2 linked regions of the Mus musculus genome follow. Each later gene encodes a partner of the first gene's protein in a complex. Links are inferred from orthologs where the notes say so. Each region holds a gene or a part of one and is shown in the gene's direction. Other genes may lie near its edges.

Region 1 (5,466 bases):
ATGAAGCAACTTGGGGACAAAAGAGTTTATTTGACTTACACTTCCATATCCCTGTTCACCAATGAAGGAAGTTGGGGCAGGAACTCAAACAATGCAGGAACCTGGAGGCAGGAGCTGATGCAGACACCATGGAGGGTGTTGCTTATTGGCTTGCTCTTCCTGGCTTGCTTGGCCTGCTTTCTTATAGGTTCCAGGACTACCAGCCTAGAAATGCCACAACCCACAATGGTCTGGGCCTTCCCACATCAATCAGTCATTAAGGAAATGTCTTACGGGCTTTTCTACAGCCTAACCTTATAGAGGCATTTTCTCAATTACGGTTCACTTCATTCCAATGACTCTAGGTTGTGTCAAGTTGACATAAGACTGACCAGCACACACTGTAAGGACCCTACCTCTAATAATGTCAGGTTCTGTGGTACTGGGAGTGAAGATGTCAATATGTTATGAAGACCATATTAGTACCTCAATCTGATATCTTCCTTCTCCCCATCACACACACCACACAAACATGTTGGCTCATGTGTACACTGTACACACATATGTTAAAAAGTGAACTCTGGGTTCTCTGGTACGGTGAGACATGAAGACACAGACATGGCTGTCTTGTAGAAAGGTTATTCACACAGATCCTTCAAAGCAGGAAATGTCTTATAATTCTATAACAGAATATCACAATGGATATAAATTTGTTTCTTGGGCTGGGAAAAAAATGACTCAATCAATAAGATACTGGCCCAGAATAAATACTGAGCTCAGGTCTCCAGCACCCACATAAAAAGCCAAGTGGCTACAGGCATCTATATTCCCAGCACTGGGGATACAAAGACAGACCAATCAACCAAACACAATCAGCAGCAGTCTCCAAAAACAGCATTCTCCAAACATCAGGCTCCAAAAGAGACCCTTTACTGGGGTTTTCCCTGGAAGGAAGGTTGTGGCATGGTAAGTGTGCTGGTGGGTTTAGAATTAAATAATTTGACTTGTTTCAGAATATTCTGGATCATAGACATGCTCCCTAAGCACCTGCCTCCAGAGTGACTTAGAGCAGAGGGGTACTTCTTGGTGATTGCAGTAGATGGAGATGCCAGCTTGGGGTCAGTTAGTACGTATCAAAGAGAATATATGCATTTCCTTGGAGTCATTTATTGTCTCTAGGAATTAGTTAGCTTCAGAGATCTATCTAAGACCCATGCAGTGAATGCCAGAGCTTTAGGGATACAGAAAATAGGGGCTGGGAGATAGTTCTATTAGTAAAGGGCTTTTCATCACACAAGCATGAGGACCTGGCTTTGAAGGTGGCTAACACTCAGCATGGTGGCCCACGTTTGTTCTATCAGCACCAGACAAGCTAAGACAAGCAGGGATCTGGAGTTAGGCAGGCAGCCTAGCCTAATCACCAAATGCCAGCTTCCAGTCAGAGGTCTTGTCTAAGAAACAAAATGGCAGGCTTCTGAGGAACAACACTTGGGGTTAGGAGGCCGCGGTCTGTGGAGTTCCTTGATCTGTGGTTGTCTTTGGCCTGTAGAGTCTGAGTCTGCTTACTACTGTTCTCACTACTTGGCCTTTTCTCCTGGTTTCTTGCCTTTTTTTTTTTTTTTTTTTTTTTTTTTGAGCCATCTTGTCTGTATCCCTGCTGGGCCGCTGGGTCATTTGTAGTGAAGAGTTGAAGAAACAGAGGTTAGGCGTGTGCGGTCCAGCTTCTGTGCACAGCCAGCCAACATCCCTAATGCAACACACGCTGGAGCTCTGATAGCTCTGATGCCCGGCCACATAGTCTTTGCTACTGCTTACTAGGCAGCTCCACACAACATGGCCCCTCCTGATTCTAAACCACTCTACTTATCAACACCTTCTGTCCTTGACCCAACAGGCCATGCAACCCAGAGACATAAGGCAGGACACCCTGCTGAGAGCCTGAGTCCTCTCTGCTAGGCTGCCCAGTTGCTTTCCCTTTGTCTCTCTTCAGCACGTTATTTTTCCACTGCTTGCCCAGCAAGCTCATATTCCAAGTCTTAAAAGTAAACTGCCACTTTAAAAAAAAAAAGCGGCCGCCTAGTGACCTTCCCTGGGAACTGGTTGCTAAGCTGGTGTTTTTTTTTAAACCCTGAGATATGGCTGCAGCTTCCCAGGGAGTAACCTCTCTTACCCCAGCCCACCCTTTCGCTCATTTCTAAAAGGTTCTCTGGCTTGACACAACTGGTCTCTCATCTCATCCCTTCAGCCCAGCAAGTGGAATCTGCAAACTTCGTTTTGTAGAGTGGACGAAGGTAAATCAGTCTTTAACAGAGACAGGCTGCAGTGTCCTGCTTTCCTCTCCTTTCCGTTCCGGCAGAGAAACCAGCCCCTCCCTGGTGCAGTGAGAGTGGAATGAATGCTTTGTAACGTTAGGGACTCTCATCTTGCTAACATTAGAGACCCTTCATCTTGCTTGCAGTTTCACTCTCTCAATGCAAAGTGGGGGCACTGCAGGGACAGCTCTGATTTCAGCTGCTGTCTGGCTTGCAGGGGAAAAGCAAACCGGTTCACAGAGAGCCTCTCTGGTCAGTGTGCTGCTAAGCACTAGCTGCGTGTTGCTTTCGGGCCTTTAGTTTAAACTGCTCCGGGGAAGGGGAGGGCGGGCCGGAGGGAGTACTCTCCGTGTGGCGAGCTCCACTTTTCTTGTTATTGGACAAAGAGCTCTGAACCGCAGGGCTGAGGTCTGCCAAGCTTTCAGAAGTCTACTGGCCATCAGCTCAGCTGTTTTCATTTTAGGTGCTATGAAATGCTAGGTGCTATGAAATGCTAATAAAATCTAATGAGAAATACATGTCTGCTATTGCATTTTATATAACATTTCTGCAAATAAGTGTAACGACAGCATGCTTTGTATAGAGGGGAACTGTATATGGATAGAGAAAATATGTGCATATATGTATACATAGAGATAGAGAGATATGCACATATATAAACATAGATCAATCTGTATATAGATAGTTGGCCTAGAGTTCACTTACAGAGTCATTTATTCAAGTTTTTAGTGAGCATCAATGATGCAGCAGATGAAGAACTCAAGTTTACAGTGTACAAAACCAACTTAGACCAGGTCCAGTGGTGAGACTTTGCTGGGGAAGCAGATGTAGAAACAGATAATGAGATCAGTGACAAAACAGACTTGTAAAAAGGTCTAAAGAGCTTGGCCCACAGCGGGACTCCTGCCATAGAGGTGCTTCCAGCACCCCCTGTGCAGCTGAGCAATCCCATGAGCAGAGCCTGGGTGCTGACCTGGCCTCATCAAGTGAAAGGTGTCCCGTCCATCTGATTAAATGACCACACACAGCTGTGTCACTCACCTGGTACCCTAGAAGCTGGGGCTAGAGTAACTTGCTGCTACATAATTAATCATTAAAAAGGCACAGGATGGCTCCTGAGAGTTCACAACTTTGAGCGGGCCCTCCCACTCGAAAGGAAAAGCCTCGTCTCTGAAGAGAGAAAGTGAGCATGCGTGGAGGGGAGGAGGTTCCAGCAACATTTTAAACAGACGAGGGAAAACAAGTGTCCTGGTCCTGGCTGGAGGAAGGGGAGAAGAGACTTGTGTATGGCTGTCAGGGATGGGTGACAAAAACTAAAGAGAGTAAAGGGATAGCACTCAACACCCTAAGGTTTTCTTATGGTTCTCTTCCATCTCTGAACCTCTGTTTCCCCTCTCCATCCCTTCCTCCCACCTCCCCTCGCAACCATGACCTCTTCATCTGACCATCCTGGTTGGTAAAAAGATACTCTAAAGACACATTTGTGTATCTCCTTCAGCTATCGGACCATTAAAACAATGGACTCTAAGCCATTAAAACAATGGACTCTCAGAGCTGTATTTTCTCAGTATTGAGCGCTGGGAGAAGGAAAAGATGGGCTGCTCGTACCAGCACAAGGGAGGACTTGTCTCCAAAAGACAGTTCTGACAGCTTGTCAATCACCTTGCAGAAGGTACAGGGACAGAGACAATGCCATGTCAGTGATGGAAAGGACCACACTGACCAAAATTGCTTAGCTATGTATCCCTCCTGGTACCTTTTATTCAGACCCAAATTTCATATCAGGACCCTGGAAGACTGACTGTGACATTACTGGGCACCTCTGTTCCACTTCCCAAAGTCATCATGTTGTCTCTGATTTGTCCATTATTTTTCTCTTTCATTGCCCTACTGGGGCACTGGTGGCCAAACCTATCTTGTTAGAGTTGCCAACTGTTCTAACCCAAACTCTGGCAACATCCATAATAATAAAACCATAAACCCTACCAACACAGAGAGCCTGGTCTGTGACAGTCACTTTATTACAATCATTTCAGTACAGAGTCCATCATAAGAATGGGTTACCCATAAGAAATGATGATCACCTAAGGTGGGACATTTGATTATGAATTTATAGAATTGGCTGTGTTGTTTCAAGATCACACACTGGTGAGAAAATGGGGATTTTGAACCTAGGACTATGTTTTTTTTCCCAAAGACCTCACTCTTTAAAGCCATAATTTCTTTGTATAATTAATACACCATCCTTTCGGAGCAGTCTCAATTAAGAAGTACTTTATATAGTATAGCCATTTCCTCTCAGTCCTTCTCTGTATCTTGGAGGTTCATCCCTGGATTCTTGGATATGACTCTTAATGGCTGACTTTAGAGACAGTTCATGTGGTCAGAAAACAGTGTAGATACTTTCCTTTAAAATTAGTTGGTTATCTGCCCTGTGTAAAATAGATTATTGGCCTTGTGTCACCTATATAATTAGGACATTGCTATAGTGTTTGTGGTTTTCCATTGTATTTTCACAGCAAGGACAGTATAGACTAGTGATGGTAATCTTGTTTTAACAAAATTAAAGTGGGGCCATGGAGAGAGAACTTTGGAACCACAAAGCACAAAGGTCAGACTCTGAGAGGGAGATTTCAAACCTGTGGCCTCACATGATTTCGGAAATCTTGGTTTGCTTGGGTCTAAATTGACACTCATCCTACTGAGAGCTGGTGTATCAGGGTGAGCAGAGCGAGTGCACAGGGAGACTGCCAAGCTCCAGCTCCACACACCCAGGGCTTTTATTTTGACACTGTCAAAGAATGTATTAACAAGTGGCCATGGCCAACACTGACGACAGGGGCTTATTAAAGCTGAGCGAGCGGTGTTTATTCATCTTTTTGGAGCCAGCAGTGCTCAGAGGAGAGATCAATTTTGGTGTCATTTGATTTCTCTCAAAACTCATTGGAAGGTAATGATGGGGAAAGAATGGGGAGAGAGGAAACAAGTCCATTACATCTGTCATTTTCCTCCTCGAGTTTTTAATTCCATGTACGACTTGTTTTTAATTTGTGGAGAGGTTGTTTTCCACTGACTAAAATACTTTGCATCCTTTCTTTCCAATTTCTAAGAACCAGAAGTGTTGGTCAGAGCCATTGATGTCCGTAGGCATCTCTGTGTACGTTTCCTGGCCCCT
Region 2 (5,545 bases), on another chromosome or scaffold:
TGAATTTAACAAGAGTATTCTGTGCTCTTTCTTTCAACAGAGGGTTTCTGTGTAGCCTTGGCTGTCCTGCTTTGTAGACCAGGCTGGCCTTGAACTCACAGAGATCTGTCTGCCTCTGCCTCCTGAGTGCTAGGATTAACACCTGGTGCAAGGATTAATCACTAAGCCATTTCTACATTTTTTTTTGTAGAGACATTTTAGTTTTTTCCTTTTATTGAGCTGACTATATAACCTAGCATGACCTTGAATTTCTAAACCTCTTTCCCCCACCTCCCAAATGCTGGGACTATAGGTGTTTCCCCCTATCCAGCTTAAGACTCAATTTTATATGAAAAAGTTATAGTTTCACCATATAGGAGCTTGAGTGGAGCTCAGTAGTAAAGTAATCATTTAGCGTGGTCCATACCCTGTGTTTGATCCCCAGTGCAGCCCACAGGCAGAAGCTTCAATAAGTAGGAGCTGAATATATAAGGACATTCAATGCTATAGATTATTCTTTGTGTTTTAGAATGCCATTCTCTGCGTTGATAATACTATAGGGTCTCAGAAGGGAAGATGGGAGGATGGCTCAGTGGAGGGTGCTTACCTACCTATATGTAAGAGGCCTGGAGCTTATCTCCAATACTGAAAAAAAAAATCAGGAAATTACATGATTACAATGCTGTTGTTTAAGTTACAAACCCTATACAAAACTTGCCAAGCATCTCACCTCAGTCTTTTATAATAAAAGGGGGCGAGGGGGGGGCAATTCTTTTGCCTGGTTTGGGATCTCAGGTTCAGTTAGACACCCCCCTACCCCCCGTTCATTTAGAAGACCTCCAGTCTGTCTTTCATGACCTTTAACTGGCTTAGGAAAGGGAACCCCATGTATTACTTTAGGGAGACAGAATCATTTCTTCTTCTTCTTCTTCTTCTTCTTCTTCTTCTTCCTCCTCCTCCTCCTCCTCCTCCTCCTCCACCTCCTTCCTCTCTCTCTCTGCCAATTCCTTGAAACAAAAATTTAAGAAGTATCTATTTTCAAAGCTTCCCTTTGATATTATTCTAGTATTATCTTTTAATTTAAAAAAATTATAGCACGCATTACCTCGCTGGGTTTTGTTCTTGTTTTGGCTGTTATCAATCTCCCCACCTAGAATATAACCTGGAGGGACTTTATCGAGGTACTCTCAGATTTGGGGCACAGTGCCTGGCATCTGGGAGACATCAAATATTTGTTGAATAGATGAAATCCCTCTGGTCCTGAGCCTTGTCTTTTGGGCTGGTTTAGAGGCACAAAGAAAAAGGAATGGAGGGACCAGAGAGTGCAAGTGGGATGGGAGGTCCATTGACATGGGACTTGATTGTGAACTGGAAAGTGCTGAGAACTTTCCGATTCTCCGATCTGCAGGGATTTCATCCGAAGCCCCAAATCGGTCACATCACCCTAAGAAGAGGTTCTTGGTCTGTAACTGAGCAATGTCCGGGGCCTAACAACTCAGAGCAAGAGTGAAATCGGTGGTGGGTCAGCGTCCCAGCCTAGGCTAAGCGCAAGCAGTTCCAGTCCCCCGCTCCATTCTTCACCCTTTCAGATCCCCTCGGTTCCCGAGGCAGTCACCTCACCCACATCCAATTTTAACCATCCCAAGGCTGCTCATTTCTGCACTCGGCAAATCTCTCATGACACGGAGACAAGTTATTTAGGAAGAAATTAGAGTCATTCTTCGGCAAAGTTTTGCTCTAGGGCGGAAGGGGGAGTCCTCTGACAACCAGGGGCTAGGGGACTTAGCCTGACCCTGGGACAAGCTCGGTGCATCAGCCTCTCCTCGTTCGTCCCCTCGACTCCTAGCGCCCAAGGCAGTGAGTGGGAAGCACAGGAGAAGGGAGGATTTGGTGGTTCTGGCTGCATCCTCTTGGGTCCATCAACGGCTCACGTACCGCGCCTATAGACGTTGGTAGAGGGAGCAGCACTATCGCGAGACTTCCGAAAGCAGCAGCGTGGCGCTTGCGGACGCAGTTACCATGGCAGCCGGGCGGCGCCCGAGCGCGCGGGAAGGACACTTAAGTAGAGAGGTCTGGCCTGCTTGCTCAGGGAGACTTGATGAGTGACCCACCCCAGACTTCCAACCTCAAAACCCACGGCCTCCACTCGAGGCCCCCGAGGCCATGGGTCGGATCTCCGGGCTCGTGCCCTCTCGGTTCCTGACGCTCTTGGCTCATCTGGTGGTTGTCATCACGTTGTTCTGGTCCCGGGTAAGACGCGGACAGGGCGCGCGTGCGCGTGCCCTCCTGGCCCTCCCATTCTCATCTTGGAGTGGACCCAGCTCAGCTCAGTCCACTCACACAGGGTCCGTTCGTTGCTCCGTTCCCCGGCCCCTTCCCAACTTGTCCCCGCAGCCCCATTCCTCTTTTGACATTTCTTTCTTTCTGCCCGGCTCGCCAGGAAAGCAACATCCAGGCTTGCCTGCCTCTCAAATTCACCCCGGAGGAATACGAAAAGCAGGACAACCAGTGAGCTCTTGGGGCGGGGTGAGAGTGCAGGGGTCTTCAACAGAATCCAGAAACCTTGGTCCAAGCCCTTTTCTCTCTGCAGGCTGGTAGCCGCGCTCTGTCTCACCCTGGGCCTCTTTGCAGTGGAGCTGGCTGGCTTCCTCTCAGGAGTCTCCATGTTCAATAGCACCCAGAGCCTCCTCTGTATCCTTTTTATTTGGCCATCGTCCTCAGGTGACTCATCCCAGTTACCACTCTTTCCACCTCTGTAGGCCTTTGGGGCACAAGTGTCTGCTCTACATGGTAAACCGAATCTCTCTCTAGGTGAGAGGTTTTAGACACTGTTGGGGAATTAATAGACTTCAAACATTCGTTAAATCCGGATGTGAGCCAGGTTCTGGCGATCCCTGGATGGGAGTAAAATCATTTTATCCCGTTTGAAGAGGTGGCAGACAAACATCTGTAAATCAGTGTGATTAAACAGTATGCTTGTAGGTGTGTGTAAAATACAAAGCACTATGGGAACTCAGAAGGGACCAAGAAAATAGAGCCCAGGTGTGGTTCTGCAAGCCTTTAATCCTAGTGCACGGGAGGCAGGGGCAGGTGAATTTTTTGGGTTTTTTTAAATCTTATTTTACTTATATATTTAGGTTATCTAAGACAGGGTTTCTCTATGTAGACCTAGGCTGTCCTGGAACTCAGTAGACCAGGCTGGCCTCGAACTCCGAAATCCACCTGCCTCTGCCTCCCAAGTGCTGGATTAAAGGCATGCACCACCACTGCCTGGCTTGTTTTGTTTTGTTTGTTTGTTTGTGTTTTTAAAAAGGTAGCTCTTTACTCTTGAATTGTGGACAAGGAAGACCAGGGCACTGGAGAAATCCCCAGTGTATCAGATCTGTAGGTATTCTTGTGTGGCCTAGGGCATATATGACATTAACCTTCCCAGAAGTGTACAGAGTGTACAGGGAGAGGTCCTATCAAAGCAAACTCAGCTCTGGTCTCTTACACATAACTGTCCATAAATTCAGAAGGCATTGGCTGCCAACTCTGGCGCTTGTCTTAAGGGAAGGGTACAAGCTGAACCCAAGTCCAGGTACCAACGGGGCCCATCACGAACCGATTACTTTCCTTGACCCCCTCTGTATTGTTAAGCCATTGCAGCCCACTGTAGCGCGTCTGTGGCCCTGTCTTTCTTCGTATTCGAGCGATGGGAATGTACCACGTACTGGTACATTTTTACCTTCTGCAGGTGCCCTAGCACCCAATATTTTGGAATGGGGGGGGGTGGTGGAAAATCGATCCCAAATCTGAAGGTTTCCCCCACCTAGACCTTTCCTGCACATGTGAAATTGGTAGAGTTTTGAAGAGTCATACCCACCCTAACCCACCCGCATATAAGGTTTGGAGGTTCAAGTGTTTGGGTTGGAAGGGGCTCTAACTCCCCCCCCTCCCCCGCGGCCCCGTACTTTTCACAGCGCCTTCCCAGCTGTCACTGAAACTGCATTATTCATCGCTGTCTTTGGGCTGAAAAAGAAACCCTTCTGATCACAATCCGGGTGTAGGGACCAAGGCTGGAAAAGTGATGAAGCTTCCTCCCACTGCTGCAAGAAAAAGGCAGAGGCTTCAGTTTTCTCTCGCCCAAGTCCCTTGCTCCTCCCAACTGCGGCTAAGCAGAGGATGGCAGTGTTGGAATAAGATCTCTCAAATCTTGGATTATAATTTTATTAGAGTTTTGTAATAAAATTTATTTTATAACAAGAGCAAGGCGTATACTATTTTTCAGAAGACCATTGGATGGGCCAAGAGGCTGGTATAAATAAAGGCTTTTATCTTGTGGTTAGGGCTAGAAGTAATGCTTCTATTTGGGTTTTTACGCTAGAAGCTAGGCGGAAGTGAGTGGGCGGGGATATGCAAATAACTATCTCACATAGCGCTTCTAATTTGCCGCGTGTGAGGGGAGCATTCTGGGATGGTTTTGTTTCTCCCTTTTTGTGCCGAATGGAGAATAAAATACTTCAAACGACTTGCAAATAGATATTATTCTTGCGTTGCAAGAACTGTAAGTCACTGGGCTCGTGCTAAAGTGACGTATTCTCACCCTTCCTTTAATAGGAAATGTCTCTACTTATTTAGCAATGGGCTCCCTCTGCCTTTTATCGTCAGGAGGTTAATCCTTACCTGTTCCTCCTTTCGGAGGGCAGTAGAAAATGATGATTGGAGCTTGCATGATCTGCTGATTAGCATTTCCATGCAATCAGGACCTGACAACATCCTGGTTGCTCCTATCTGATTCCCTGGCGATCACACTTTTCCAATGTGCTGATTGGTAGACCTTTACAGCCAGACTGTGTGCTGTTTATAATTTGTCCTAAACTGGCCAGTCATAGTTTTAAGGTCTTCACTTCTATGGTAAACAATGCCATCAAGGTGGCTGTTGGTTGTTTGCCCAGCTCCTGGAAAGCACCCATGGCCACTCCTTATGCTTGCCAGGAGGTGCTTTCTGATAATTCCTTAACTATTACCTAAAGCATCTCTTGTCTTCTTCCCCACATTCAATTTAATGATCTCCTTACCATAGGCAAAGCCCTGTTAACAGTACTGAGAAAATAGATGTGATATGACCTATACTCAGCTTTGGCATACAGAGACAAAAAAGTTTTACAGTACTCCCAGACTTATTTAATCCTGTAAACTGTGGTACATGCTTAAAAAAAATAAGTTTCAGAGTCACCAAAATGTTACATATGTCTCAGCTATTGCTGAGAAACTTAAGTACAGCTCTGGGAGAAGCCCACACCCACACCCTTGCATTTGTCTTACTGAACTTGGAAAACATTTCTTTTTCCAGGAGCCTTACTGACAGGTTGCCAAACCGAACTCTTACTTAAATTAAACAGTGTGAACTTGCAATTAAGTAGGTTATATTTACACTGAAGATACAGCTAGCTCACTGGTAAGTGCATACTTGCTATGCCTTGAGGCCCTGAGTGAAATCCTCAGTGTCACAAACTTAAAGCAGCCAGGAATGGTGATCATGCCCACAATACCAGCACTCAGTAGACAGAAGCAGGCGGGCCAC

What was found.
Region 2: Cc2d2a (region 1) and Tmem107 share a complex: the UniProt entries of both Homo sapiens proteins name them as parts of the tectonic-like complex. The link is inferred for Mus musculus from reciprocal best matches to the Homo sapiens genes CC2D2A and TMEM107.

Annotation. Positions count from the first base shown.
Region 1 is NC_000071.6:43,660,290-43,665,755, forward strand, and holds the start of Cc2d2a (coiled-coil and C2 domain-containing protein 2A), read left to right. Parts: upstream 1-2,089; 5' UTR 2,090-2,270; intron 2,271-5,086; exon of another isoform or gene 5,087-5,241; intron 5,242-5,466. UniProt on the Homo sapiens protein: Component of the tectonic-like complex, a complex localized at the transition zone of primary cilia and acting as a barrier that prevents diffusion of transmembrane proteins between the cilia and plasma membranes.
Region 2 is NC_000077.6:69,068,805-69,074,349, forward strand, and holds Tmem107 (transmembrane protein 107), read left to right. Parts: upstream 1-2,004; 5' UTR 2,005-2,142; coding exon 2,143-2,229; intron 2,230-2,419; coding exon 2,420-2,487; intron 2,488-2,569; coding exon 2,570-2,670; intron 2,671-3,618; coding exon 3,619-3,715; coding exon of another isoform or gene 3,716-3,794; exon of another isoform or gene 3,795-3,941; coding exon 3,942-4,011; 3' UTR 4,012-4,489; downstream 4,490-5,545. UniProt on the Homo sapiens protein: Plays a role in cilia formation and embryonic patterning. Requires for normal Sonic hedgehog (Shh) signaling in the neural tube and acts in combination with GLI2 and GLI3 to pattern ventral and intermediate neuronal cell types.